Oryctolagus cuniculus: one gene and its partners. The protein of the gene in region 7 purifies or fractionates together with the protein of the main gene of each other region. This does not show direct contact. Links are inferred from orthologs where the notes say so. Each region holds a gene or a part of one and is shown on either strand. Other genes may lie near its edges.

Region 1 (4,326 bases), on a different chromosome or scaffold from region 7:
TCATTTGTGCCTACCTCCTTGGTGGATGGATAGGAAAACCAAGACCCAGAGAGGGATGGACTGGCCCACGGTCACAGGGGTTGATGGGCTGCTGACCACCTCTGGAAAGCTGCGTGGCCTCCACAGCTGATGCTGGGTCCCCAGGGCTGTCCCGACCCCACTCAGCTCTAGAATCAGAGATACCCAGGTGCAGGCCCCCGGCTCCATCACCCCGCTCGGCCAGTGGCCTCAGGGCTGCCCCCAGGAAATACAGGGACCTCATTCAGCGCCTTAGGTCATCTCACGGCTCCCACAAACTGCCCTACTGCTCACAGAGGAGACTGAGGCCCAGAGAAGCAAAGCCCTGGCGCAGAGTCACACAGCCAGAAGCTGAAGGGACAGAGGGCTGGTCACTAACTGGTCATCTGATGCCCGAGCCTGGCTTTGTTTATCCACGGTGCCCACTGCCTCCCAGATGTAGAAGCAGCCTGGGGAGGGGACAGGAGCTCTGAGGTTGGCCCCACACGGATTTGAATGAGCCAGGGCCAGTGCTCTGTCTGCTGACTGTGAATGCACGGTGCTTTCCACCACCTGCCTCACATCTGGCGCCAGTTACAAGTCCCAGCTCTTCTCCCCACAGAGGAGGGAGGGCTGCCCGGTAACTTCTGTCTAAGAGCAGGAGAGCAGGGTGCTGGCCACACAGGCTCCTTCCTCTCTGCAGACCAAGCTAGGGCCCTGCAGAAGACAGCTGCACTCCCTCCATCCCGCCAGGGGCAGGCTCCGCACGCACGCCACTGCTCCCTGGCCAGGAGCGCTCTGGCAGCAGGAGGGTTAAGCCTTTGGCTTAAGACAGACTCTGGTCCCAGCACCAACCAGACTGACTTGCGTAGCCCTGGGAAAGCCACTCTGCCTCTCCCAGGCTTGGTTTCCTCATCTGCACAGTGGAGTAACAACAGGGATTTCAAAGCCTCGCTAAGAAGATTGCAGAGTGTGCCTGCCTGCCTGGGACTGGATGTCCCCGAATGGGTGAGACACAGGAGGACTCGATGACTGTGAAGCAGCTTGATGAAGGCCTTTGTGTGCTCTGGGGACGACAGAGGCAAGCAGAGCCATCCCTCGGTGCCCAGGGCTGGCGCAGGGGACAGAAGGCAAGACAGGGAAGCCTGGGGCCTGGACAGGCTCTGATGCGTAAGTGGCACACAAGCAAGAGGAGGGGGCCGAGCAGCAAGGCTGCCACACGAAGTGCATGGCAAGCACTTGCAAGACTGGAAGGAGCCAGGAGGGCTGCCTGGAAGAGACAGAGCAGGGAGGATCCCTGGAAGAAAAGTGATGAGGAAGGGCATTCCAGGCAGAGGACGCGAGGGCAAATGCCCACAGGCAGGCTGGTACAAATTCCTTCTCGGATTCTAGGATCTGCCTGGCAGGAACAAAAGGCCCGAGTCTGCAGCAATGAGGCAGGGGCGCTTACAACCTCTCCAAGACCTGCCCCCAACTCGCCTCACTGCACCCCCCACCGTGGAAAGCAGGGGAAAATAGCCGCCCAGTGCCTCTGGTGAGCACTGCAGCAGAGCCCGCTCACAAAGCACAGCCCTGGCATGCAGCAAACGCCAATCGGTGCAGCTGGGGCTCCTGCGGGCACTGGGGAGCCACCGGCAGCCTCCGGTTCCAGGATGGAGAGGAGAGGGGCACAGTCCAGCTGGAGGGAGGCGAAGAGGGGTCCTGAGAGCTGCCGCCTACGCCTGCGCCTGCAAAGGAGCCCCCAGATCTGACAGCCGGGCCTCAGTTCCCCAGCCCCAGCGGCCACGGGGGCCTCCCTCACCCTCAAAACTTTCCCAGCGGCTGGGGGTTTGGAAGGACATCTCAGGAATCTGGAAAATTTGCAAATCCATTTAAATCCCCAGAGGTTGCCTAGTGGCAGGCTGGCCCAGGGCCAGAGCCGATTCTTAGAAGCAGAGCTGGGCCGAGGGGCAGGGGCTGTGGCCCTGAGGTCCCCAGTGCCCCGCGAGGCCCCCTTTCTCTGCCCCCTGCATGCCATCCCCCAGTTCCCCTCACTCCTGCTCCTGCCAGCTATCCCCAGCCCCGCAGCCCGTACTGTGCCTCGGTGGTCCCCACATGGCCCCCACATGGCCCCCAGAAACTTCTGGGGGTGTTTGATGAGGGCAGGAGGCAGCAGGGCTCATGGGGGTAGGGGGCAATGGCAGAGGCCACCCATCCCAGAGCAGGAGAATGGAGAGAACTGGCTCCTCCAGTCCTGACATCACCCAGAGCCGCCCAGCCTCTTCCCATCTGGTTTTGTTAAAAATATTTCGCATTTTTTATTTTTTTTTTTACCTACCCAAAGAGGCACAGGCTGGGGTAAGGGGACAGGGCACTGGGACTGGGGTTCCCACCTCTCCCAGTTCTTACCTTGCTGCTGAGTGTTCTGGTGTGAGTACTGTCCCGGGCTCTGGACTGTCACCCCCTCCAGGAAGTCCTCCTTCTTGCCCTCTCCCCGTTATCACAAAGACTTCGCTGGACCCACAAGGGGCAGCAGCAGGGGTAGAAAGGCAAGAAGGGCCGTGGCAGACTCCTGGAGACTCAGGAGAACGGAGGGTCCGGGGGCTGCAGGGGAGGAGCGGCCCAGTTTCGCCTCACGCCCCAAGCATCCTTGGGGAGGAGCAGGGCCGCCAGGAGGGGCCGCCCTGGGTCTGGCTGGCTGAGCGGGCAGGGCACCGGCCAGGCAGGGCTCAGGGGCTCAGCCGTCTCCTCCCTGTTGATCTCCTCTCTGGCTCGCAGAACTGTCCCGGGTCCCAGAGAGGGCGGGCGGGGACTGCCGGCCCAGGCGGCCCCAGGAGCTCGCACCACTGTGGGCTTCCCTGCCCCCCCACTCTGGGGGAAAGGCTGCAGGGCGGCTTCTGATTGGCCCAGCCGGGGGAAGGGGGGTGCGGGCGGGCGGGAGGGTGGGCGCGTGCGTCTGTTTTCAATTTCAGGTTTTTTCCCTCTCTCTTTCTTTTCCCCGTTTCTTGTTTTTCTTCCTCCTTTCCCTCTGCTTTCTCCCTCCCGTCGCCTGCTCTCTCAGGATGTGAGGGGATGTTTAGAAATTCCGCAGCCCACGCCAGCCGCTGAGTCACTTTTATTAAAGAGTGGCCGGGCCTCACTCGCCTGCCGCCTGTATCTGGTGGCTGGTGGCAGTCTCCTCTTGCCATGGCACCTGGGGGAGAGGGAGAAATCACCCTGTGCCTCAGTTTCCCCAGCTGTCAAGAAAGCTCTGGTCATCTATAGGGCCGGTTGGGCCATCAGTCAGTTCTTCTGCAGGCATATTAAGCAACTGCTGTGTGCCAGCTGGGGTACTCAGGGCTGGGGACAGTGGCATAGCAGCCGCCTCTGATCGGGGGCCCTGGCTGAGCAGGAGGAGAGGCGGGGAGAGTGGACTCAGGGGTGGGGGTCGTCCAGCCTGAAGGCCATGTCAGGCAAGGCACGGAATCAGGCTGCCTGGCCCTACCAAGGCAGCCACAGGCAGGGCCTAAAATTCAATAAATCCATAGCAGGCTCATTTTTAAGCTGATCATTTTGTATGGCCTGGGAATCATACTATAAATACCTAAATGACCCTTGGCAGAAAAAAAGGCTCCCCACCCCCGAGAGGGACATGTGACCTAAGCTTGAGGGAACCAGGGAGCGCCTCTCAAGGATGGGACCCAGAAGGGAGGGAAGGACACCCCAAGATGCTCAGAGGGCAAATGCAAGGCTCGATGCGAACCGGCCAGGGAGGAAATACAATCTGCCCAAGGACACCCAGCACACCGCTTCAGATCTCAAGATACATGTTTTGGGTGCTCAAAGCCCCTAGAGGACAAGAAGAGGATTTGTCCCCATTTCACAGGCAAGGAAACAGAGGCCCGGAGAAGTGAGCTGCACTTCCTGGGCCCACAGGGCAGGGGCAGAGCTGGCAGAACCTGACTTCGGGAGACGCATGCCAGAGGAGACACGCCCGCCAGCACAGATGGCACCCCTGCCCTCCTTCTCCCCTGCCCTGGGGCACTTCCATTCCTCCCACCCGCCTTCCCCACAGGGGTCTGCCAAGGCCCAGGTCCCCGGCTGATGCTCTTCCTTGGACTGGAAGTCTCCAGCCCTCTGATGCCAATAAGACACTGCTTCAATTAAGGGGGCTTAGAGAGCAGAGCTGAGCACCCCTGCTCCCATGGCTGTGCATCTGGGGAAACTGAGTCCCGGAGGAGCAGAAAGGCACTGGGGCCGCACAGGACACGGGGGTCCTCCATACTGCCCCTGCCTCTCTGCCTCCCTTCCCCTCCCAGGCCTCTGTGCAGCCAGCATTTGCTGGAGCACAGCGATTCACCTTGCAATCAT
Region 2 (3,676 bases), on a different chromosome or scaffold from region 7:
TGTGGGTCTGAGTCCACCAGGAAGGGGCCCGGTTGTCTAATTCACATCAAGGCACTGTGGGGGCCAGCAGCAGCAGCCAGGGAGCCCAGGAGACAGGACATCCCCTCAGCAATGTTCTGGGCTGTGAGCTTCCTGAGGGCAGGGGCCAGGACAGCCCTGTCTCTGCAGCTTCGACGCTGGGCACAGGGCAGGGGCGTCCTCGGAAGAACATGGTGAGGCTGAGTCCAGTTAAACTTGGCCATTGACCTTGTGCAGTCTAGGCTCAAAGGGCCAAGGACAGACAGGGCTCGGAGAGTGGCTGGCAGCTGGAGACATTTCAGTGAAATGCTGGGATGAACCAGAAGGGGTGGCAATGACGAAGAAGCTCGAGGCCAGCCTGATGAAGCTTCTGTATACCTACATCAGGGATGGGGGATGAGGGCTGCAGGGGACTGGTCACCCCACATGCTACAGGGCCTTGCCATTGGCCCCAGAGGAAGACGCTGGAGAGTACGCTTGCCGTGTGCCATCCAGCATGTATTCCATCAACTCTACGAGGGTCCTTCAACAAGTGATGGGAAAATGGAATTCAAAGGTTAAGTTTATTGGTGCAAAAAAAATATTGAGATCCATGCATAGTTTTTTTTTCATAATACACATTTTCCATGAACTTCTTGAAGACCCCTCGTACAGCTGCCCAGAGGAGGTGCAAACTGCCCAGCAAGCTCTGGTAGGGGCTGGGCCCCAGGACTGGCCATGGAGGGGCGCCACTGTCCCAAGATGACTTGGTTCTGACCCGGGTTGAATATGCACAAGATTCGGCAGGGGCAGAGGCCGAGCCTGGGAACTGAGCCATTTCGGGACAGCAGTGGTTGCAAAGCCCAGCTCCGGAGGCACCGGCCCTTAAAGGGTAAGGGTCCACCCTGCGGAGAAGCACGGTGGTCTCCCTTCTCACGCCAGGAGGGGATGGAGATGAAGGAGAGCAGATGCCGAGGGGCGTCCTTGTCCCGCTAGGCAACCTAGTCATGCGGTGGGCCTCGGGGTGTCCACATCTGCAGGGGACGCCCTATCACAAGCTGCCACCCAAGCCCAGCACACACAAGCCCCGCCCCTCCATAGGCCCCTCGGGCCCCAGGACAGAGCAGCTGATGCAGGCTGTGGCCTCACTGGACATCAGAGAAGCCCCCCACCCCACAGCGTGCGCTCCCCATGGGCCTGATGGCCTTCCCAGGCCTAGAGGCCAGGGGAGTGGTCACATGCTCTGGAGGCTCTGGCCACCTCTGAGGCCCAGCCAGGGGCTCTGACTGCTGCCCACAGCCAGGAGGGCCCTCTTGTGATCATCTGGTCAACTGCTTGGCTTTCCAGGTAGGAACTGAGGCCCAGAGAGGGGAAGGAACTCGCCGTGGGTCACACAGCACATTAGCATTGAATGCCAGATGAGAAAGATGTCTTGGAACACCTTCTTCTCCCTCACCACGTGGGGAGCAGCAGCCAGCAGGTGGCAACTGCTGGGCCCTCACGCTCGCCAAGGACAGAAGGGGTTCCTTGCTCCCCAGCAGCCTCCTCTTTGGGTGAGTGCCTCTCGGTGGGCACTGCCACCTTCTGGGAAGGAACCCCTGGTCCTCGGGCAGGGTGTCCTCAGGCACTTGCACCCGGGCTGCAGGGCCAGCCCAGCCCAGGCGGGAGGTCTGCAGGGGGAAGCAGGAGAACACGCTGGCAGCATCGGCGGCAGCGGGCTGGCGGGGTCGGGGCCAGCCGCCCCTGGACCTCCAGCCTTGCCTCCTGTGTGATCGCCTTAAATCCTCAGAGGCAGGAGCACAGGACAGACTTTAGTCTTCCCATCCCCACCTCCCAAAGCCTCCCTCCTTGGCCAGGGGTGGGTGTCTGCGAAAGAGCCCCTCCCCTTCCATGCACAAATACAGACAGGTGCACCACATCAAATACAGGCTAGCGACGCCGCCACGCCCCCCGCCAGGCTACAGTCCACTCGGCTAGCTCACACGGCCTGCCTTGGTCTAGAGAGGCTGCTGGTAGCGAAGTCAGACCAGTTGCTCTTCTCCACTCCTGGGGCCTAGGAACCTTCACCAAAGTCAAAGGGGCAGGGGGAAGAGCAGGGGAGGTCTTTGGCGCTCCAAACCGCACAAAGGCATGGCCAATCCATCAGGGGGGTCTGGCCTTGCAGCCAGGAGAGGGTGGCCTTCAAGGTGGCCGTCCTCTCGCTGCCAGAACTGCGCTAACCACCTGGGACTGTGCTCGTGGTCTCCCGCATCCGGGGCCCGCAAGCCCACCCCGTGTCCTCCTGCCCGCCCCCGCCGCCCCCTTCCTCTCCCCCATCTCCGGCCACCCCGAGGCCAGAGGCGGCCTTTCTGGGATGAGGAGCGGGCCAGGCGGAGAGCTGAGTGGGCAGAGGAGGTGAAGGGCGCACCGGGTCCGGTCGGCGTGGTGACGCAGGCCCTGTCGGCATGGTGACGCAGGCCCGGTTCTGAGGCCCAGGAAGACCACTGGGCCCCCCCAGGGAGAAAGTGGAAGAACAAGGGGGCGGGGCTTGGGGTGGGGACACCAGAACAGGAAGTAGACGAAGAAGCATCCTAGTGCCTGAGACCTGGAGCCGCCCCGGGAGGGCCGGCCCCAGCCTATCTGTGGTTGAGCCGCGGGGAGCCTGTAACGTCATCCTCTTCCTCCTTGTCGTCCTTCATGCCCTTCAGTCTCTGGCGGGCAAAGTCCTCAAACACAATGTCGTCATCACTGGGGGAGAGACGGGAAAAATGCGGCGTGTTTGCAGGGGCGTGAGAGCCAGCTGCTCTGGGTCCCTGGAACCTCTGGCCTCCGGGGCTGACCCTGGGCAGGAAGGCCAGCCTGGCTGGCCCATCTGGATGCCCACCGGTGGCAGTGGGGGTGGTCACACGTGGACTAGAGCGGCTGGGGGCAGGAAGCTAAGAGCCAGAAAAGCGACCCAGTTCTCGGGGGCCTGGCCACGTGCCTCAGTGCCCAGAGAAGAAAGGATCTCCAGGTCGGAGGCCAGGCCCCAGGAGTTTCACTCCTATTCTCAACCCCACCAAGACCCAAGAAACCCCACCCACCAAAAACCCGGCCAGGGGAGGCATGCCTGGCTCTGGCCCGGAAGAAGTGGGCTTGGCTTACTGCACGAGACAGCCTCAAAGGGCTTGCGGCAGGCTCACAGTCCATCCTGAGCCATCCAGAGCTGGCGCGGGGCGTGGGAGGGGGAGGCCTGACTGGGGCTGCAGGGCTAAAGGCCACATCTATGAAAGCAGGCTCTCTCCTACCCTAAAATCTGTCTACTCGGGACCCCACGGGAGCCACCAAAGCTCCCTGCCCCACATCCTGCCGCCAACATGTGGGGCATCCCGGTGGGGAGACTGGACACCCCACATGCCAGAATCCTCCTGGGGGACAGGAGCTGGAGGGAGAAAACCACCTGGGGGTGGTTCTCGCTGTCCGGGACCACATGGCACACCCCATGGGTCAGTCCTCCAGTCCCAGACCCTGGCCCGCCCCGCAGCCTGATTCCATTGGTGGGGTGGGGTGTGGGCGGGGCCCCGAGCCAGCCCTGTGTGAGACGAGCAGGCGCAGGCGCTGTGGACGGACGGACGGACGGACGGGTGGACGGACGTGCAAGGACAAGGAAGGAAGACAAACCCCACCAAGGCAGGAGGAAGAGGAACAGGCACGAGGGTCC
Region 3 (4,417 bases), on a different chromosome or scaffold from region 7:
CGCCCCGGCTCAATAGGCTAATCTTCCGCCTTGCAGCGCCGGCACACCGGGTTCTAGTCCCATTTGAGGCGCCGGTTCTGTCTCGGTTGCTCCTCTTCCAGTCCAGCTCTCTGCTGTGGCCAGGGAGGGCAGTGGAGGATGGCCCAAGTGTTTGGTCCTGCACCCCATGGGAGACCAGGAGAAGCACCTGTTTCCTGGCTTCAGATCAGCGCCGTGCGCCGGCCGCTGCTGCGGCCACTGTGGGGGTGAACCAATGGTAAAGCAAGACCTTTCTCTCTCTCTCTGTCTCTCTCTGTCTCTCTCTCTCTCTCACTGTCCACTCTGTCAAAAAAAAAAAAAAAAAATCCCTTAGAGTCCTAAGCCCAGAAATGTCAATCATCCATCATCCTCCCTGAGGTCCAATGTGACAGCCCCAGAAATGATCCTCCAGTCCGGCCCCTCTTCTCCCACCCGCTCTCAGCCATCTCCTACCCTCCGCAATGCCCAGGATTAATCTCCAAAAACAGAACTCTCATCGTGACACTCCACGGCTTTAAAAAACCGGCCCGGGTTCCACGTGTCCTCCTGCGGGGCGGGCCCGCCGCCCCAGTCTTCCCCTCTGCCTGCGGGACAGGATGTGCCCGCCTCGCCTCGCCTCGCCTCGCCTCGCCTCGCCTAGCTTTCCCTTCAGAACGCCCTTGCTCAACGTGTGCCCGTTCTTCGGAATTGGCGTCCTCACATTTCCCTTCCTCTGGGCAGCCTGCCGAGCGCAGTGAGCTGCTCTGTCTTCTGAGTCAGCCCTCTATTATAGCATTCCTGGACTCATGACACCTGTCCACGTGTTCCTCGACTGGACCAGAACGCCAGGGGCCGCGATCACTCATGCGTGTCTCCAGGGCTCTGCTCAGCGTCTGGCACAAAATGGGGCCGGGGTGTGGGGGCACGGATGGATGATGGATGGATGGATGATGGATGGATAGATGTTAGCGGGGACCGGCGGGTGGAGACGTTGACATTAGAAACCCTGCACAAATCCAAGACAGACACCAGGGGGAGCTGAGACACCGCAACAAAGCCGGAGGGCGGGCCTAAGGAAACCGCAAGCTCTGGGATGAGCCGAGGAGCGGCGCGCACCCTAGCAGGCATCATGCAACTGGAACGGCTCACCCACGTGTGCATCCCCTCACCCTCCAGCCCAGACTGTTTGAGTTCATTCCACCGCCCCCACCACCCCGGCAGCCCCCATCTCCACCGAGAAAGCAAACAAAGGGGAGGAGACCCCTACTGGGTTGTGGATGCCAGGAGCCAATCCGAGGGCTGCAATCTCCTGAAGGGCGGGCGCCTCGTTGGAGCGGCCCAATCCGCTTGCAGGGATCTGCGGAAGGGCGGGGAGATGGGCGGGAGAAGCGGGAGAAGGGACCGCGCGCACGGGGGGAAGGGCTCCCCTGGGGACTGGAGCGCAGAGGGTGGAGGCGGAGCCAATCACCGCGCGAGTCTGTGAGGAGAGGGCGGGAGCGCCCGGCGCGCGCGATCCGGCTGACGCATCTGGCCCCGGTTCCCCAGGCCCGGAGGAGGGGCCCGCAGGGGAGGGGGAAGAGGAGACAGAGCGGAGGACGCGCGTGCGCAGTGGCGCGGGGAGGAGCAGGACCTAGCAGCGGGCGAGAAGGCTTGCGAGCCAGCCCCGAACCGGGCGGGCGGCGGGCGCGCGCACCATGGGGGAGAAACCGGGGACCAGGTAAGGGAGGTGGGGCCGCGCGGCGGGATATGGGTGGCTGCGGCTCGGGGCTGGTGCCGAGATAGTCTCCAAACAAGGACACCGGGGAGGGAAAGCTGGGGGCTGGACGCCTGGGTCCCCAGGGGGCAGCCATCGGGGCCCCACGCTTAGGTCCTCGAGGGTACTGGGGTGAGTGGGGGCGCATGCACGGGCCCTTGCAGAGAGCAAGGCCTGAAGGGTACCAGAAACCGGCCTCGGGGGTCCTCGCAGGGATGTAGGGGTTCTCGCGTGCGGGCTGCGATGTAGGAGGAAGCAGGAGCAGGTGGCCGGTCCCAAAGGGTCGCGTCCCAGGAGGCTGGATGCTGGGAAGGGGATTCCCCCTCTAGACTCGTGCGGAGCCCGAGGGAAACCTGCCCAGTACCCTACAGCAGAAGGGCTGCCCCCACCTGTCCCAAGGACCGGGCGGCTCCGCTTCCAAACTTCTGCCTTCCCGTGGGTTGCCAGGAGCAACAGCTTCATCTTGAGGGAGCAGAGTGCGTGGCGACCCTCCCCGAGGCTGGGCGCCGCGTCCCTTCCCAGGGCGCGGGGGAGAAGGGTCTGCCCCGAGCCACGCATCCACTCCCCGGATGTTTTCTGTGCAATTGAGGCTCCTTCCTTCCACGGACACCCCGAGTTCTCTTTTTTGGTCTCTACCAAAATCCACTTCCTGTTGTGACCCAACACCCCCAAGGGGGCAGGGAGTGAATGCCGGGGCCCCAGGGGAGCAGGAGCAAAAGAAAAGGTTGGGGCTGTTTGTCTCAACCAGGAGGGGCTCATGAGTGGTCCTGAGCTGTCACTAGAACTGCAAAACAAGATCCCATCAACCCCACCCATTGAGTAGGAGAACCCAGGCTTCGGCTTCTGAGCGTAGAGTAGACCACTATCAGGGAGAGGTCAGCGCAGCAAGGGAAGATGGGTGTCCTGGATTAGGGGCTAAGCACCCTCAGAGAAGGGAGAAGTCACTGACTTGGAGGAGGCCCCCAGTTTCCGTTATGTGGTTTAGGGAGTGGGGGACGGATGGGCCAAAGGAGGGCTGCTGACTTGGCATAATTCCCTCCACCCCCATCAAATTCTGGGCCACAGGAAATGGAGAGAATAGCAGGAAGCGCGAAGGGGCATCTGCTTCACTGCCCCCCACCCTGACCGGGCACCTCCCTGCTCATCCCCACACTGTCTCCCTGGGCGGCCTGAGCACGCACACGCTGCTCCTCCCTGCCCTGGCAGGAGGGGGCCAGGTTAGGATCCAAAGGGCAGGTGCTCCAGGGTAATTGCCCCAGAGCCACACTCCTCTTGGCCAACTGATTAGCGCCCCTGCTGGGTAGAAACGCTGGGGCAAGGAGGGGACCCAGAAGCAAAGGGGAGGGAGAGCCTGGATGATGCCAGAGCAGTCAGCCCCCCCTCCCAACCCAGGATGGGCAGAAGGTAGGGTGCTCATGCTGGCTGCCCCCTCATTGACAGCTTAGTGACTGGGGAACTTCAGGGGCTGCTAAGCCCTTTGCCATATGACCTTTGGACAGCTTGCACTGGGGAGAAGGGGCAAGTGGAGTTCCTGGAGCAGACACCGGGGTGCTGGAGGGGAAGGAGGGAAGGGCCAGGCGGCAGCCCTTCAGTTTCTCCTCTCTGGGACCCTTTCCAGCGGGCACTGCCGAGCAGAATGGACTAGAAGGAGTTAGATGGTGCTTCCAAGGACAGGCCCACACGTGGCCAGAGCAGGGGTCGCCAGACACGTCCCTCCCCTTCCAGAGTCTGATGAGGCTTAGATAGTTTCAGCAGCTGGGAAGAAAAATGCCCTTCGGCTCAACAAACTGTCAGTGCTCACTACAGAGATAGACAGTGTAACCGTGTAGCTGTTGGGAGCTGAGACCCACAGCCAGCCTGCCTCAGTTTGTGTCGGACTTCTGTTTTACTCTGTGACCTTAGACGAAGTAGTTGACCGCTCCCTGCCTCAGTTTCCCCAACCCGTACAATAGGGCTCTTGGGGGCCCACCACTGGGCTGTTGAGTACTAACTGCGATCACGCACTTGGAACGGTGCCAAGCACGGCACAGTCACGCAGAAAACGTTAGCCACAATCACCCTCTGCAGCGTGCGGTGGCTGCCGCGCCGGGTGTGCCGAGGTGAACGAGGCCTCTGAGGCTTCGCAGGGCGAGGAGGGAGGCAGAGGAGGCACCGCTAACTGCTCTGGGTGCTATCACACCGCAAGCGAAACATAAACAAGATGTGACAGGAACCCTGAGACTGGAGGGTCTGGGGCCTGGACTGCGTCTGCTTGCCTTGAAAGACAAATAGGACCTGAAGCTGTTGAGGCCAGAGACAGGGCCGGTCGGTAGTTCAGGGAGCGGGGTCAGCCTTGGGTAGTGCCTCTGGTAGGAACTGTTTGGCGGGACAAAGGCCAAGGCCGAGCTCTCCGTGGAGCTGGAGACCAGATGGAAAGACAGTGAGGTCTTAGGGAACCACAACCTCCCCGTTCAGTGCCCCCCGCGGGAAGGCCCCTGGGGAAGAGCCTGGGTGGTTCCTGGAGCGGCCAGAAGCCATTCCCATGGTGGGAGGGGGGTTAGCGAGGGTGGACCTAGGACAAGAGAAGGGGCGTTTGCCCTAGCAACCGGCTTCAAGGGGCTGCCGGGTGTATAAAAGACTGCCAGGGAGGAAGTGGGAGGGGGCAGCGCAGGGCACAGCCCCTGCGAG
Region 4 (3,676 bases), on a different chromosome or scaffold from region 7:
CATCTCCCTTATCTGTAGAGAGTACACGCTAGCAACCGCATCCTGAAAGGATCATGGGGGTTCAGTGTTGGGCGTGAACATGTGGGGACCAGGGGCGGGCCTCTCACCCAGCAGTTAAGATGTGGCCAGGAATGCCCACATCCACTGTCAGTGTGTCCTGGTTCAGGCCTCTGGCTCCTCTCCCAATTCCAGCTTCCTGCTAATGCAGACCCTGGGTGGTAGGGGATGGCTTAAGTAGTTGGGTCTCAGGCCGGTGCCATGGCTCACTTGGCTAATCCTCCACCTGCGGCACTGGCACCTCAGGTTCTAGTCCCAGTTGGGGCACTGGGTACGAGTCCTGGTTGCTCCTCTCCCAGTCCAGCTCTCTGCTGTGGCCCGGGAGAACAGTGGAGGATGGCCCAAGTGCTTGGGTCCCTGTACCTGCATGGGAGACTGGGAGGAAGTACCTGGCTCCTGGCTTCGGATCGGCATAGCACCGGCCATGGTGGCCATTAGGGGAGTGAACCAACTGAAGGAAGACTTTTTCTCTCTGTCTCTCACTGTCTATAACTCTCTGTCTCTCTCTCGCTCACTGTCTAACTCTGCCTGGCAAAAAATTAAAAAAAAAAAAAAGTAGTTGGGTCTCTGCCACCCATGTGGGAGACCTGGATGGAGTTCTGGGCTCCCCACTGCAGCCTGGCCATTGTGGGCATTTAGGGAGTGAACTAGTGGATGGAAGATCTCTCACGGTCTGACTCACTGTCCCTCTCTCTCTCTCACTCTCTCTCAATTGTAGTAATCAATTTAAAAATAAAAATAAGGCAAACGTGGGGAGGTGGAAAGTGGGGTGGGTTTTTAATCCACTCCCGTGAAACACTGGGATGGTGAAGTGCCCTCGGTGTCAGGCTGAGGAGCCAGGCTGGGAGCTGCCTGTCATTTGCCAAGTTACCAGATGCGAGGTGAGCTCTGGCCAAGAGATGCCCGAGAAGCTGCGCCCCCAGGGCCTTGTCTGCTCTTGGTTCGGTGATGGCTGCGGAGCACAGGGTGTTGGAGCCACAGGGGTGGAGGCTGTTTTCTCCCGGCCCCTTCCCCTTCCTATGGGCAGAGAAACTGAGTGTCCTGCTGGGCCCACACCCCAGCTAGCGGCAGAGGGGCCGAGAAGGGGCCAAAGCCACGGGTGGGAAGCTCCCCGCCTCCTCTCTCATATTCATTTCCTGCCGTTGCTTCCTCTTCCTGTTTCCTTGGAATCACACTTTGCGTTTTCTCAGTGCACAGCCAAGAAGTTCTGAATGCCTGTCTGGCGCGGGGTTCCCGCTCTGCTCTGTTTTCTGTTCCCTGTGTAGAGCTGTAGGAGGCTGGCACGAGCAAGACAGCGCTCGCCGCAACTGCTTTGCGTCTGCCTTTGGACGCCCAGCTTTCTGCTGCTCTCTCTGCTCTGTCCTTCCCCACAACAGGCTGGAGGGGCCAGGGACACCCCCATGCAGCCAGCAGTGGCCTTGGGAGCACGGCTGGTAGGTCCCCCAGTTTGTCTAAGTTTGCATGCAAACTACCCCGAAGATTTAGTGATTGAGACATTGTTTTGTTTTTGCTCAGTTTGTGGGTCAGGACTCGGGACAGGGCACAGCAGGGTGGTTCATCTGCACAGGGTGACCTGGGGCCCCAACCAGATGCCTTGAACCAGCTGGAGGAGGCTGGGATGGTAGAGGGGAGTCCTACGACAGGGACCTTGGTTCTCCCTTTAAGCTGGGCTGGGTTCTCTCCCCATGAAGCCGTCACGTGGCTAGCTTGGGCTTCCTCGCAGCATGGTGGCCTCAGCACAGACTTCTTACACCGAAGAAGGAAGTGCAGGCTGACATTCCTCTTAGAGCGTGGGCCCAGAACTGCCATGGCTGCTTTCTGGCGGCCAGCAGATTGCAAGGGAGGGGACTGGAGCTGCTGGGGGCTGTCTCTGGAGACGACTCCGGTTCACCGTCGGGCTGACCACCTGTCCTGTGTTCTGCTCATAGACCTCACGACCGTCATCAGCGCAGCGGTGGTAGGTGGCGCCTTCCTGCTGTTGGCCCTCGGACTCATCATCTGCTTTGTGAAAAGGAAGTAGGTGACACTCTCGGCCGGCTCTGGCTGGCGGGACGCCCCCTCTGGCCACACAGCCCCGGGGTATTGTGGGTCACTGTGAGATGACACTGCCAGTGTGAGCAGGGGAGGGGAAGAACACAGATGGTGACACCGTCACTCCGTGAGTCACACTTTCTGTAAGTTGACTCTCACGGGGGGGGGGGGGGTGGTGGCAGGGGAGGCTCAAGACAGCCACTCCTTCCGTTACTTTGAGGCAAGAACAGCATGACGCCAAGACTTGTTCTGCAGCTTCTGCCCTGTGCCTGTTCATTGAGCCCCAGGCCAGGTCTCCCCAAGCCACCACTCGATTTTCTAAATTCTCCTGTTTCTCATTAAGGTCATGGAGGAAGGGCGAAATCTGTGTTCCTTCATGTGATGGCTTGATCTACCAGAAAAGGCAATGAGGATTTTTTTTTTTTAATTAACCATGACTCTGAGCAGACAACTGAACTTCCTGGTGGGCAGTGAGGCATTCTAGAAACGTCTGGCCTGGCGGGGAGGGCCTAGCTCACAGCAGACCCAGGGAGGGTCTTCTTCCCCCTGCAGTGGTCGCTCACGTACCGCATGGGGAACGACCTCACAAGGTGAAGCATCATCTTGCCGCCTGGCCCAGGAAACATGCTGGTCTGGGGTGCATGGGACGCCCAGTGCAGTGGGGAGAGCATGGTGTGGACCCCAGGCTCCTACTTCCCCCACAGGAGGGCACTGGGCTAGGTGAGGGGCGAGTCCACCTGCTCCGCTCTGGGCTTGAGGATCCCCGACTCCACCTTGTGGTGGGCCTTGCCCTGGCTGGCAGGTTGGCTTTGGAAAGGCCCGTCCATGCCTAAGTTGGTGTAGAAGGATGGATGGGGGTCTGCAGTGAGAACAAGGGGACACGATGCCTTTGACACTGCACTTGTTCAATACGCAAGTGTCTCCTGGGCGCTGGGACCCATATGAGGTGCCGCAGATGACAGTGAGCAAGACACGGTCTCTTCTGCCACCCGTGGGGCAGAGGGACAGAGGGCAGGCAAATAAACAGGCAGTTTTGGGGCCAGGTGAGAAATACATTGGTGGGGACAGGCAAGGCACTGTGAGAGCACCAAGAGTGGACACCTGTTCCAAGGCTTCAGGCAGGAGCCTCTGGCACCCGTCATCCTTGCCGGCCAGGGACAAGGAGTTACAAGCTAAAGGTGCTAGGTTTATTTTATTTATTTAATTTTTTAAGTTGAATCTTGAGTGGTAATACCTTTCTTCTTTCTTTCTTTTTAAGAATTTTTTTTTTTATTTGAAAGGCAGAGGCGGGGGAGGGTCTTCCATCTGCCGGTTCACCCCCCAGAATGGCTGCAACAGCCAGAGCTGAACTGATCCAAAGCCAAGAGCTAGGAGCTTCTTCCAGGTCTCCCATGTGGATGTATGGGCCCAAGGACTTGGGCCATCTTCTACTGTTTTCCCAGGCCATAGCTGGGAGCTGCATCGGAAGTGGAACATCCGGGACTTGAACCGGCACCCATATGGGATGGCGGCTCCGCAGGCGGCAGCTTTACCTGCTACGCCACAGTGCCAGCTCGCTAGGTTTATTTTTTATCGCGCACAAATGCAG
Region 5 (3,676 bases), on a different chromosome or scaffold from region 7:
CAGCGCAGAGCTCACACGTTACACAGAAAGGGCTCTGGACACCACACACTTGACGAAGTATTTTAATACAACACCTTCCCCTTCTCGGGCTCGCAAAATCAGGATCACCTTCTAACAGACGGACGCATGAAATGGGGCGAGCGTTTCGCTTTTCTCCAACGAGCTATTCGGAAGTGAGAGGCTCTGCTAGAAGTCGGTGGTGTTTCCTAGCCTCCTTCATACACTAGCATACTAGCATCGTATCATACAGTCATGTTCCCAGTACGCCACCCGTACAAGGGGACTTCAAAAAGCTCACGGAAAATGGAATTAAAAGATCAATTTATTTTGGTGCACAAGTTTTTGAAATCCATGCATAGCGGTTTTTTTTTGTAATACTCATTTCCATGAACTTTTGGAAGACCCCTTCTATCACTGCACTATTCTCCCATGAGAGAGAGAGAGAGAGAGAGAGAGAGAGAGAGAGAGATTTGAATTAAAGGACTTCAAGCTTACTTTGTTTTTGCCTTCAATCAGGGCAAACTGATTTTTGCTGCCTTCAATTCTATTGCCTCCCTGGAAATCCTCCACGTTTCTCCATTCTTTGCAAGTGTATGGGTTTGTCATTAAGGCCGACTGGCTGTAAGAAAGAGCGAACAGATCACTTAGGATTTTGGCTTTCCCTTTTCATAGAAGTCTATTATTTTTTAGCTGTAATATTTAACAATGTTGTTAACGTTTCACCACACTCCCTTCCTGGGTAGACATTATATACTTACACCTATAGGCTACCTTTCTCTTGAAAACAGAGGAATTAATATTGTAAAGTGAGGGGCCGTAGGACTGATCGAAACGTAGAAAAAGAACGGTCCGTCGTCACGTATGTGGTAGGATTCGGTCCCCAGATCAATAGCAAGGAGAGGACTCCGACCCGGGGCCCTGTGTTCCTAGAAACAGCTGTCAGGGCAGCCACACTGCGAGATGTGGCGCCAATTAAAAATAGGCCTGGACAGAGGGGGGACGGTTCGAGGCGGACCCACTCAGGATACAGGAGGGAAGCAGCTATTTTGGGAACAGCCTCCATTCATAAACGTGACGACAGACATTCACGTTGGTTCAGTTCAAAGGAAGGCAGGGAAACTGCGAAGCCACTGGATTTGTGAAACTCATTCCCCGGCCAGCGGCTGTGGAAGAAGCTCCTCGTGGCCATGGCGAAAACAACAACAGGAAGTAGCCGCGAGGGGCTGATGGGCTGCTTGTTGTCCTGTCCTGTCCCCTGAGGATGTCCGCACTTGTGTGAGAACTTGATAAACCAGGCCCGAGGCTGCACCCACCGGAAGGCAACAGCGCACTGGCCCCCGATTGGGCGGAGAGAAAGCCAAGATGGAAAATCATCCAATTGAGCGAAGCACCTGCTATTGGAGAAGTGTGCCCCAGGCCGCCCCAAGAAGAGACAGCCAGCTTGTCCCAGAGTGGGACCCCCGAGCAAGCCAAGACAGCTCTGACACAAAACCCCAGGAAGCGGGAGGAGACCTCGCCCCCCTACACACACAGGGGTCGCTGTCTTGGTTTAGAAGGCGGTGACAAGGAGCTGCACGGCCCCAGGCCCACTCACCTGGCCTGCTCCGAGCACTCCTCCTCCAGCTGCCAATACCAGCGGATGTGGTGCGGGGGAGGCACGGCGTACACGGTGCAGGTCAGCGTCTGCGAGCTGCCATACTGGTAGGAGTCCACGGGCGAGATCAGAGACTTCTCCCCAATCTGCGGCGGCACTGGAGGCGGGACAGTGAATCCGTGAACTGTCAGTCAGCTCAGGGGGTCGCACAGGAGAGGCGTTCCCGACCAAAGGAGAGCTTTGCATTGTTTTGTTTTGTGTTTAACGTTTTTACGCTGCGATTAGCCTGCACTACAGGAACAGTGTGCTATGTAAGACGTGCCTACACTGCAAGCTGATCGCCTCCAGGCACTTGGCACTTCCGTTTCCTTTTCATTTCTCCCTGTGTGCAGCCTGCCCTCTTCCAGGGCTGCCGGCACTGCACACTGAGGTGCCGTGAGCTACAGTCACCCCTCCAGGCCTGGGGCGCTCTGCCGCTTAACGCCATCTATGCTTCTGGGCCCACTTTGGACTTCAAAGGACAGCTGGGACAGGACAGCTGAGGTCCCGTGATACCCATCCTAAGAAGCAGACAGGGGCCGGCGCTGTGGTGTAGCAGGTAAAGCCACCGCCTGCAGTGCCAGCATCGCACTATGTCCTTCTGGTCGACCAGAAGGCTCAGGTGGTACTTCCATTACCCCCCTTCTCCCATGCAGCAGGGCAAATGCTAAGTGAATCAGATGTGCGCTGACTTCATGAATGGATGAAATGGGGGCGATTCCCTGCCCGTGCCTCCGTCTTTATTTCTTGTATGCTGCCTCAGCTTTCCGGCCACTGCCTCTTCTCCAAGCCCCGCGCCCTCACTGCACACGAGCACCTGTTCAGAACACGCGATCTTTAAACCCATCCCTGCAAAAAGGAGGGACGCCACGCTCAGTGCCATGAGAACGGCACACACATGAGCATTTTGAAGACCCCAAGAAGTTCTGCAATTACAAAAAGTATTTCACACCATCAGGGCAGCTTCCCCACGAGTGTGACCATTGGACCCTTCCTTCCCCATCCCAAACATTTCGTTAGCCCTTTGAGTGTGGGACAACAAGTCGTCCTGAAATTAAAAACTTACTGTCGTCCCTCCAGCTCAGAGTCAGATGCTGTACTCCCGTCCAGAACAGTAAAAGTTCCAACCAAGCCAACGCCCTCTGAGCTGGGACCTGCCCATGCCCCCCCTGAAACGCCAAGTGCAGCCTTGAACTTCAAGAAGAGCCTCGGACATCTGTGCACCAGGCGCGCAGCTCCACGAGACGGGAGCGCGGGTCCCGCGGCCCAGGCTGACCACTGTCCCTGGGGGCGTTCTTGGCCACCGAGCCAACCATCTGCTTTAATCTTGCATTTGGCCACCAAACAGCTCACGGACAGGGCCTCTTGAGCCAAAACACGGCTGCAGGGTAGCACACAGTCCCACATCTCATTGCAAGTCTGCTGCCCCAGCCAGTTTTGTACACGAGCTCTGTCATGATATGGGTGACGGAGCAGGACACAAAGCCTTGGTGGCTTAGTGGCACAGGAAGACAAAACCACGCCCCTCAAGTCAGTCTGGGAGAACAGAGCAGACTCACCATTCACAACCAGAGACACCACGTGGCTCTGCTTCTCCCTGGTGATGGGGTTGGTGAGGATGACGGTGTAGTTTCCCGTGTCTTTCTCACTCGCCTCCGAGATGGTCAGTACGTGCCCCACTTTAATCGTGTGATTGGACTCCAGGAGTCTTCCATTTTTATACCTATGATTCCAAAAAAGCAAAAAAACCCGGGAATGAGTGTCATGGAAGCATCTGCCTTCTTGTGAAACAACACTCTTTATTTCATCCCAGTAGTTACCATTTGATTTCAGGCGGTGGGTAGCCCAGCCACCTCACGGGGACTCGGATGCGCGCTCCCACCGCGGCCTCCACCAAGGACTCCATGCCACTCCCAAAAGCAACAAAAGGCTTCTCTGGAAGAAAACAAAAGTCGTTATTCTCATAGGTGTCAACTTTCGGAGAGTGGCTGTTGGGCTTGGTTATCGTTGTTATTGTTATTCTTTCTTATTTCATGGGAAAAG
Region 6 (3,676 bases), on a different chromosome or scaffold from region 7:
TGCTGGACACCTCGCGTGCTTTCTAAGCCAACCCGAGGATGTCGGAAAGACTGCCAGGAAGTGGGGCATGGGGGTTGCATCCTGACGGTGCCCAGAGAGCAAGAGCACACACATGCGCTTGGGGGACTTGGGCAGAATCTTGGAAGTGTCTGTCTCATCTTGGGATAACGTGATTGCTTTGTTCTGAATGCCGAAGGAGCAGGGGTTCTGACCGGCTGCTAAAACAACCCATCCTGCCCGGGGGGGGGGGGGGGAGGCTTTACAGAGAGCTGCCGCTCACAGCCCTGGCGGGAGGCGATGGTGAGAAACGGTGCAGCGCCGGCCCTCTGAGCTCCGGGTAGGAGCAAACGCTTCCTTGCAAGTCTCCACCTCCACCACCCAGGACGCGCGCCTACTCAGCAGCCTCCGGAGCCAGAATCTGCTTCTTGGGTGTCACTCGGTTCTTTCCTCCTTGGATCTAGGTTGCTTCCCCATGCACGACCCCAGACCTCATCTTTGGAGAAAGCAACCCACCCCCATCTCACATAGCACTTGGTTACGGGATCACTAACAGGGTAGGGAATAACCCATTGGCCAAGGTTTTCATTTTCTTTCTCCGGGGATCTTTTTTAATGTAAAGTTTCTAATTCAGACAATCATTGTTGGATATTTACCTTTATTTTCGTTTACTGGCTTCATGGCATGGTTTGCAACATCATCCTTGTAACCTGGTAGCAGGAGAACAATGCATTAGGCTGAGTGGCAGCGGAAATCCTAGTCTTCTATACATTGTAAAGAATTCATGGCTTTCCCAGGGGCTTCCTGCCGCGCGTCCGGCCTCGCCCTTTTCTCTGCCTGACCTCCCCCACGGTGGCTGGCGTGTGCTCTTGGGAAGAGCCTGTGCCAGGCGGCTCTGCCGATCCCTGCCTGGCTGAAGGTGACATTAGGAACCAGGAAGGAGCAGATGCATGAACTGGCCCAGGAAGGCCTCACACATCAGTGCGATCATGAGGGAATCACTCGGCCTTGTGCCAGCGCACTCAGCGACTGTGGACGCGATTCTGAGTCCCCGGGACCGCCCCTGCCCTTCCTGACGATAGCTGCCATGGAAGGAAGGGGCGTGGGCTTTGAAAGGCCTGCATCCACATCAGGGTGCCTGCTTGCAATCCCAGCTCTGCTCCCCATCCCAGCTTCCTGCTGCTGCTGACTGCGAGGCGGTGGTGATGGCTCAAGCAACTGGGTCCCTGCCAACCACATGGGAGACCTGGATTGAGATCCTGGTTCCTGGATTTGACCCAACCTAGCCCTGGCTGTTGCAGCATTTAGGGAATGCATCAATGGATAGAAGATCTCTGTGTGTCTGTCTCAGATAAACAGAACTAAAATATTAAAGAAAGAAAAATAGCCCGAATCTGGGCTGGGACTGGTGTTTTTGTGTGATGTAGTGAGGCCACCTCTGAGAGGCTAGTCATGTGGCCTTGGTCCTACATCTGGTGGGGTCAGGAACTCCTGGACTGGCCGCCCACCCTGCTGAGCACAACCCCACCTGTGGTGAGCCTCGTAACCAGGTATTTCTTCACTGGAGAGCTCATCTGATGCCTGTGCTAAGTGCAATCTTTAACTGGTTGCCCTTGGTGGTGAATCGAAGTAGCTCTCCCTTATCCATGGCGGGTGTCTCAAGATACTCAGTGCTGCCTGACAACACAGCTGGCACCAAACCCTTTTCCACCTTAACTGAGTGCTTGTCCCACACTTGCAGTCTGAGGTGTGACAGCAAATCCAGAGTTCCTTTTGCTTCACCATGGCGTCGCAGGTAGAAGGCTCACCCTCACTTAGCAACCTCAGCACGCGACTGCTTTTTCTCTCTCTAAGTTGGAAGCTTTCCGCGTTGCCCTCAGAGGGAGCGCTTTACGGCATCTCTGTGGCACGTCTGATCGCGACGCTTCCACTCTGGGGCTGGTGTTCAGTAAAGGAAAGGCTGTTGAACACGAGTCTTGCAGTGTCTGTGACGGTCAACCCCATGACCCAGAGAGCTAATAGGTGACTAATGGGCACGTAGAGTGGACAGTGAGATATGCTGGATGAAGAATGATGTGTTTTCTGGAACTTTCCACTCAATACTTTAGGACTCTAGTTGACCATGGGTATCTGAAACCACAGAATATGAAACTGCAAATACGGAGGAACCCGTCTTATGCTCGTGGGAAGCCCAGCCGTGAAGATATTTTGCCAGGGGCTGGTGTGGTGGTACAGTAGGTTCAGCTGCCAGCATCCCTTATCAGAGCACGGGTTCAAGTCCCGGCTGCTCTGCTTCAGCTGCAGCTATCCGCCAGTGCACTGGGAAGGCAGCAGAAGACGGCCCAAGTGGGACACCCAGACGGAGTTTCAGACAACTGGCTCAGACTTGGCTGCTGCAGCCATTCGGGGAATGAACCTCAGATGGAAGATCTCTCTCATTGTCTCTCTCTGTGTCACTTTGCCTTTCAAATAAATAAATCTCTTTTAAACTAAGATGTTTTGCCAATGCTTTAATCTGATGTCTGATCTCCTTCTACAAATGGAAATGGATTACACTTGAGCAATAGTTAAAAGCTTTGAAGGAATGAAGACCCCACAGTCATTCTCCATGCTTCATCCTACAGGCGGCTTAGAAGGTGGGAAATTAGAATACATTTCTCTGCCTTTCCTGCCAAGTGTTTGTTGTATTAGCTCCCCATCCAATGACTGACAAGATCAAGTAGACCTCCTTGAAGCTGGGGCTTCCCTCCCAACTTTATCCCCACCCCTACAGCTTCTGCCTCTAAAGCAAAGGCAGTGTGTGGCAAGTTGGAAAACACCCTTAGCTAGGAAGGAAACCACGGTGTTACCATAATGACTGTTGGCTTCAATGTTGGGATCTGACACGGTCTCGCTGTTGGAGTTCAGAAGTGGTGCTGCTGGCCTTAAGATGAAGGTTAGAAAGGAAAACAGATGTCATAGATACGTAAAATACATAGATTTGGATCTAACCCCAAACCGACAAAATACCCAAGTGAAGACCAAGGGTAAATTAGGAAGAGTTTTCCACAGTGAGAGACACTTTACTATCTCACTTGGAAAACTAACATCTTTATTTATTCTTTTTACAAATACCCGGAATCCTTCCCCAGGCCCCGCCCCACCCCAAACCCTCAAACTGTTACTGCTTCCCACAAGAACAGAGCAACCATCTCCATACTTTTGAATTTTAGATTTTTATCAATAAGAGAGTGTAACCATTTCATATAGGCCAACTCTATGGTGCCAAGTAAGCACATTTTTAAATTTCCATCTGCTATCCTTATAATTTCCTAAGGAAAAAAGGCATCTCACAAGTAATAGTGTTGGAAGAGCATGATCTGAGAACAAAGGCATTCCTTCCCATGAAGTCAGGGATCTTCCACTGGGACACATACACACACTCACACACTCTCACACTCTCACACACACTCACACTAACACTACTCCCACACACTCTCACATGCATTCACACTCACACAAACACACTCACACACACTCTCACACGCATTCACATTCACACACACTCACACACTCACACTACTCCCACACACTCACATGCATTCACACTCACACACTCACATGCATTCACACTCACACACATTCACACTACTCCCCCACACACTCACTCACATGCATTCACACTCAAACACAGTCTCAC
Region 7 (3,676 bases):
GAAGTCAAGGAGACCACAGAGCAGAGGGCCTGGCACAGCGGGCACTCCATGAAGGTTTTCTGGGAGTCTGGGAACGGCCCCCGCGGTTATGCGCCCCTCGCTCCCAGGTTTGCCCTTGGGGACACAGTCCACGCCCGGCCCCTTCTGCAGACAGGTCAGGCCCAGGCAGGAGACCACGTGCTGTGTGTGGCCAGACGGTGGCCCTCCTGGTGCCCAGCCTGGCTGGCAGCCCATGCTACCCTTGCCCAGGAGATGCCTGGCCGGTGTTGGGGGCAGCACTGGGTCCTGGGGGCAGAGGCCTTCTCTGGGGCCTGGCAGGCAGTTCCCGGCCACCGAACTCCCAGGGACGCACTCAGGCAGGTAACACCCGCGGTGCCAACACAGCATGCGGCTACCCCCGGTCGCTCGGTGAGTCAGGACCGAGCCGGGCCTTGAACCGCCTCCTGAGTGTCTTGTGACTTTCTGCAGGTGGCCTGGGCCAAGGGCAGGCAGGAGCAGAGGCCCGAGGCTGCAGCTGGCAGTGACCGCCACAGGTGTGTGCACACGCACATGCACACACACACAGGTGCACACACCTGCTGGCACACCCACACCCAGCAGCCACACACTCCCCAGGCCCCCAAGCGTGAGGACGAACCCACAGTCCCAACCTCCACATGTGCACACACACACACATAGGCACACACCTGCACAGGGGTGCCCACGTGTACAAAGCCGCCTGAGGGCTCAAACGCACACACCTGGCCTGGATGCTCTGCCTCCCTCCTCCCCTCCCAAGGAGGGGCGGGGCCAGGACTGGCCAGGGAAGGCCGAGGCCGGCTCCCAGCACTCACTGCAGCCCCAGAGGCCCCTGGGGAAGGGGAAGAGAGGGCCCCCTGCATCCGCACCCATTCTGGGAACAAACCTGTGCTGTGACACTTGGACCTCATGACAACCTGGGCCCGTCCTCATCTGATGAAACTGAGGCCACGGAAGTCTCGTCTCTCCTCTTGCTGCACCCCGTCTCCCACCGCTGACTTAGACACGCGCCTGCCTGACTTCTGTCCTGCCGTTTCATCCTCTTCCTTCTCTACCCCCAAACTCCTATTCATTCTGCAACACCCAGCCCCAAGAACCCACAAAAGACTCAGCCTCTGCTGGCCAGCAGGAATGCTGCTACCTTTCGTGGTCTCACTCTCGCGCACCAGGAAGGTCCCTCTTGGGTTTTCTGCATTGAGCAGTAACCGCTCCGACTCCCGCCTGGTAATCTTGCCGAAGTACCACCTGGGGAGGGAGGGACGAGCGGTGAGCAGTCCAGTTTCCGCCAGCCCTGGACCCCTCAACCTCGCCCAGCAGTCCAGGAGCAGTGGTGAGCAGACGCCCAGGAAGATACTCACTCCTCGGCCTGGATGGAGTCGGAGGGCGCCACGTAGTTGCTGGGGATGTAGCCGGTCTGTCCCGTGCTGAGCGAGTGGGCCAGCCACCAGTCTCCCTCCCTGCACAGGGGAGAGCACGGAGCCAAGGGAGCCGTCAGCAGCCAGCCCAGGGCCGCTGGCTTCCTGCAGTGAGCGAGGCTGGGACCAGGGGAGCTCTCGCATTGCCCCATGGAGCTGGCCTGCAGCCCCCCTCCCAGGCCAGAAGGCAGCCAGGGTCTCCGTGCACGGAGCAGAGGCCAGGCCTTTCAGAAGGGCGCTCCTGGTCCTCGGGGGCAGGCAACACTGGAATGGGAGAGAAGACTCCCGCCCAAGAGGAACGTCAGGTTCCACCCTCCGAGTCTCCCCCAGCCCTGAGGTTCAGAAGCCAGACGCCAGGAGCTGGGGAGACCTGGGTGGAGGCCAAGGGGCACCCTTAGGGGCAACCCAGGCCCCAGCCTGCAGAGCAGAGCAGTGCTTGCCTGTCACAAACCATGGCTCACGCCTACAGGGTCCTCAGCCGCAAACTACAGGCCCCTCCTGCAGCCTACCCATCTGCCACGGGAAACTGAGGCCAGAGGGGGCAGCGACTTGCCCAAAGTCACACAGCGATCTCGTCAGAGGGGTCGAGGTGGCGCAGCCCACTGCCCAGGCCCCTTCTGTACTAACTGCCCCAGGAGGAGGAGGAAGAGGAGGAGAGGAGGAGAGGAGGAGAGGAGGAGAGGAGGACGGGGACAGGGGCAGGAGGAGCCCTGGGACCTGGGGAGGGGGTAGGGGCGGAAGTACCTTTGCAGCCATCTGAATGTGAACCAGGTCTGGCTGGAGCGGGGGTCCAGAGACACAGAGGAGGGAGGAGAAAGCGAGAGCCCGACGGGAGAGAAGAGGCAGAGATGGGGGTGGTGAGCGGCAACGAGTGGCAGAGAGAGCGAGGGAGGGGGCAGAAGAGCCAGGCGGGGCTGGGGACAGAGACGGGGCAGCCACAGAGGCCTCGCATCCAAAGCAACCCACAGGGCGGGGCTGGGAGGTCGATGGGCAGGGCAGCCCGGGGACTAGGGTTCAGCCCCCATCCTATTCCCACTGTACAGATGGGAAGACTGAGGCCAGGGAAGCAAAGCACTCTGCTCAAGGTCACACAGCCAGCCCCAAAGGAGGAGGACCCCTCCCTACTGGGTGAGGAAGGACCTGACAGTCTGCTGAGCTCTCGTCAGTACAAGGCTGTCTTGGACGTCACCTTGGCCCTGAATGACGCCGGCAGGATGCGCCCACCGCCACCGCCACACAGAAATACAGAGGCCCCTCGCCTGCAGTCACACGGTCTCCACTCGAACCAGGACCCTTACTCCCAGCTTCTCTGAGCTGCCCCTGGCCATACTCTTCGGCCCGTGTTAAAGATGCAGAAGTTGCGGCCAATGCAGTGGGGGAGGGATAGGGCATTTGATGCACTAGTAAAGATACCACTTTGGGATGTCCACATCTCGTATCAAAGTGCCCAGGTTCAAGTCCCAGCTCCACTTCCGAGTCCTGCTTCCTGATAATGCACCATTGTGGGTGGCAGCAGCTGATGGCTCAGGTGGCCGGGCCCCTGCTACCCACAGGCGAGACCCAGATGGAGCTCCCAGCTCCCCGCTACCCACAGGCGAGACCCGGATGGAGCTCCCGGCCCCCCGCTACCCACAGGCGAGACCCGGATGGAGCTCCCGGCCCCCCGCTACCCACGGGCGAGACCCGGATGGAGCTCCCGGCCCCCCGCTACCCACGGGCGAGACCCGGATGGAGCTCCCGGCCCCCCCGCTACCCACAGGCGAGACCCGGATGGAGCTCCCGGCCCCCCGCTACCCACAGGCGAGACCCGGATGGAGCTCCCGGCACCCCCGCTACCCACAGGCGAGACCCGGATGGAGCTCCCGGCCCCCCGCTACCCACAGGCGAGACCCGGATGGAGCTCCCAGCCCCTGGCTTCGGCTCAGCCCAGTTCTAGCTGTTGTGGGCATTTGGGGAGTGAACTAGCAGATGGAGGATTTCTGTCTCTACCTTTCAAACAAATAAAAATGATAAAATTTTTTAGAAAGACAGTACCAGGCTGGAGGACTCTCTGAGGACTCATGAAGGGGCAGTGAGCACCCCAGGCCCCGGGAAGCCCCGTGTGTGGAGCAGGGTGTAGGGGCCTGGCCTGGCTGGGGCTGGGCAGCCTTGCATAGCTGTGTGACAGCTGCTTGCACACTCAGCTGGGTGTGAAGCTCTGGAGAGAGTCTTTGGGGGAGGAGAGGGCCCCAGAGGAAGGGGCA

What was found.
Region 1: the proteins of SRC (region 7) and PDGFRB purify together in Homo sapiens (affinity purification with western blotting; 4 studies listed by BioGRID and IntAct, with this or other methods). This does not show direct contact. The link is inferred for Oryctolagus cuniculus from reciprocal best matches to the Homo sapiens genes SRC and PDGFRB.
Region 2: the proteins of SRC (region 7) and ARRB1 purify together in Homo sapiens (affinity purification with western blotting; 3 studies listed by BioGRID and IntAct, with this or other methods). This does not show direct contact. The link is inferred for Oryctolagus cuniculus from reciprocal best matches to the Homo sapiens genes SRC and ARRB1.
Region 3: the proteins of SRC (region 7) and ARRB2 purify together in Homo sapiens (affinity purification with western blotting; 4 studies listed by BioGRID and IntAct, with this or other methods). This does not show direct contact. The link is inferred for Oryctolagus cuniculus from reciprocal best matches to the Homo sapiens genes SRC and ARRB2.
Region 4: the proteins of SRC (region 7) and CDCP1 purify together in Homo sapiens (co-immunoprecipitation; 4 studies listed by BioGRID and IntAct, with this or other methods). This does not show direct contact. The link is inferred for Oryctolagus cuniculus from reciprocal best matches to the Homo sapiens genes SRC and CDCP1.
Region 5: the proteins of SRC (region 7) and KDR purify together in Homo sapiens (co-immunoprecipitation; 5 studies listed by BioGRID and IntAct, with this or other methods). This does not show direct contact. The link is inferred for Oryctolagus cuniculus from reciprocal best matches to the Homo sapiens genes SRC and KDR.
Region 6: the proteins of SRC (region 7) and PECAM1 purify together in Homo sapiens (affinity purification with western blotting; 3 studies listed by BioGRID and IntAct, with this or other methods). This does not show direct contact. The link is inferred for Oryctolagus cuniculus from reciprocal best matches to the Homo sapiens genes SRC and PECAM1.

The regions. Positions count from the first base shown.
Region 1 is NC_091437.1:37,460,080-37,464,405, forward strand, and holds the start of PDGFRB (platelet-derived growth factor receptor beta), read right to left. Parts: upstream 2,831-4,326; 5' UTR 2,386-2,830; intron 1-2,385. UniProt on the Homo sapiens protein: Tyrosine-protein kinase that acts as a cell-surface receptor for homodimeric PDGFB and PDGFD and for heterodimers formed by PDGFA and PDGFB, and plays an essential role in the regulation of embryonic development, cell proliferation, survival, differentiation, chemotaxis and migration.
Region 2 is NC_091432.1:66,407,599-66,411,274, forward strand, and holds part of ARRB1 (beta-arrestin-1), read right to left. Parts: exon of another isoform or gene 2,746-3,676; intron 2,725-2,745; coding exon 2,613-2,724; 3' UTR 1-2,612. UniProt on the Homo sapiens protein: Functions in regulating agonist-mediated G-protein coupled receptor (GPCR) signaling by mediating both receptor desensitization and resensitization processes.
Region 3 is NC_091448.1:51,504,605-51,509,021, reverse strand, and holds the start of ARRB2 (beta-arrestin-2), read left to right. Parts: upstream 1-1,557; 5' UTR 1,558-1,691; coding exon 1,692-1,714; intron 1,715-4,417. UniProt on the Homo sapiens protein: Functions in regulating agonist-mediated G-protein coupled receptor (GPCR) signaling by mediating both receptor desensitization and resensitization processes.
Region 4 is NC_091441.1:102,844,756-102,848,431, reverse strand, and holds part of CDCP1 (CUB domain-containing protein 1), read left to right. Parts: intron 1-1,985; coding exon 1,986-2,073; intron 2,074-2,431; coding exon 2,432-2,491; intron 2,492-3,322; exon of another isoform or gene 3,323-3,676. UniProt on the Homo sapiens protein: May be involved in cell adhesion and cell matrix association. May play a role in the regulation of anchorage versus migration or proliferation versus differentiation via its phosphorylation.
Region 5 is NC_091439.1:109,289,125-109,292,800, reverse strand, and holds part of KDR (vascular endothelial growth factor receptor 2 precursor), read right to left. Parts: intron 3,569-3,676; coding exon 3,454-3,568; intron 3,357-3,453; coding exon 3,193-3,356; intron 1,752-3,192; coding exon 1,595-1,751; intron 620-1,594; coding exon 496-619; intron 1-495. UniProt on the Homo sapiens protein: Tyrosine-protein kinase that acts as a cell-surface receptor for VEGFA, VEGFC and VEGFD. Plays an essential role in the regulation of angiogenesis, vascular development, vascular permeability, and embryonic hematopoiesis.
Region 6 is NC_091448.1:14,342,195-14,345,870, reverse strand, and holds part of PECAM1 (platelet endothelial cell adhesion molecule), read right to left. Parts: intron 2,921-3,676; coding exon 2,847-2,920; intron 708-2,846; coding exon 654-707; intron 1-653. UniProt on the Homo sapiens protein: Cell adhesion molecule which is required for leukocyte transendothelial migration (TEM) under most inflammatory conditions.
Region 7 is NC_091442.1:21,177,281-21,180,956, forward strand, and holds part of SRC (proto-oncogene tyrosine-protein kinase Src), read right to left. Parts: intron 2,211-3,676; coding exon 2,178-2,210; intron 1,476-2,177; coding exon 1,377-1,475; intron 1,264-1,376; coding exon 1,160-1,263; intron 1-1,159. UniProt on the Homo sapiens protein: Non-receptor protein tyrosine kinase which is activated following engagement of many different classes of cellular receptors including immune response receptors, integrins and other adhesion receptors, receptor protein tyrosine kinases, G protein-coupled receptors as well as cytokine receptors.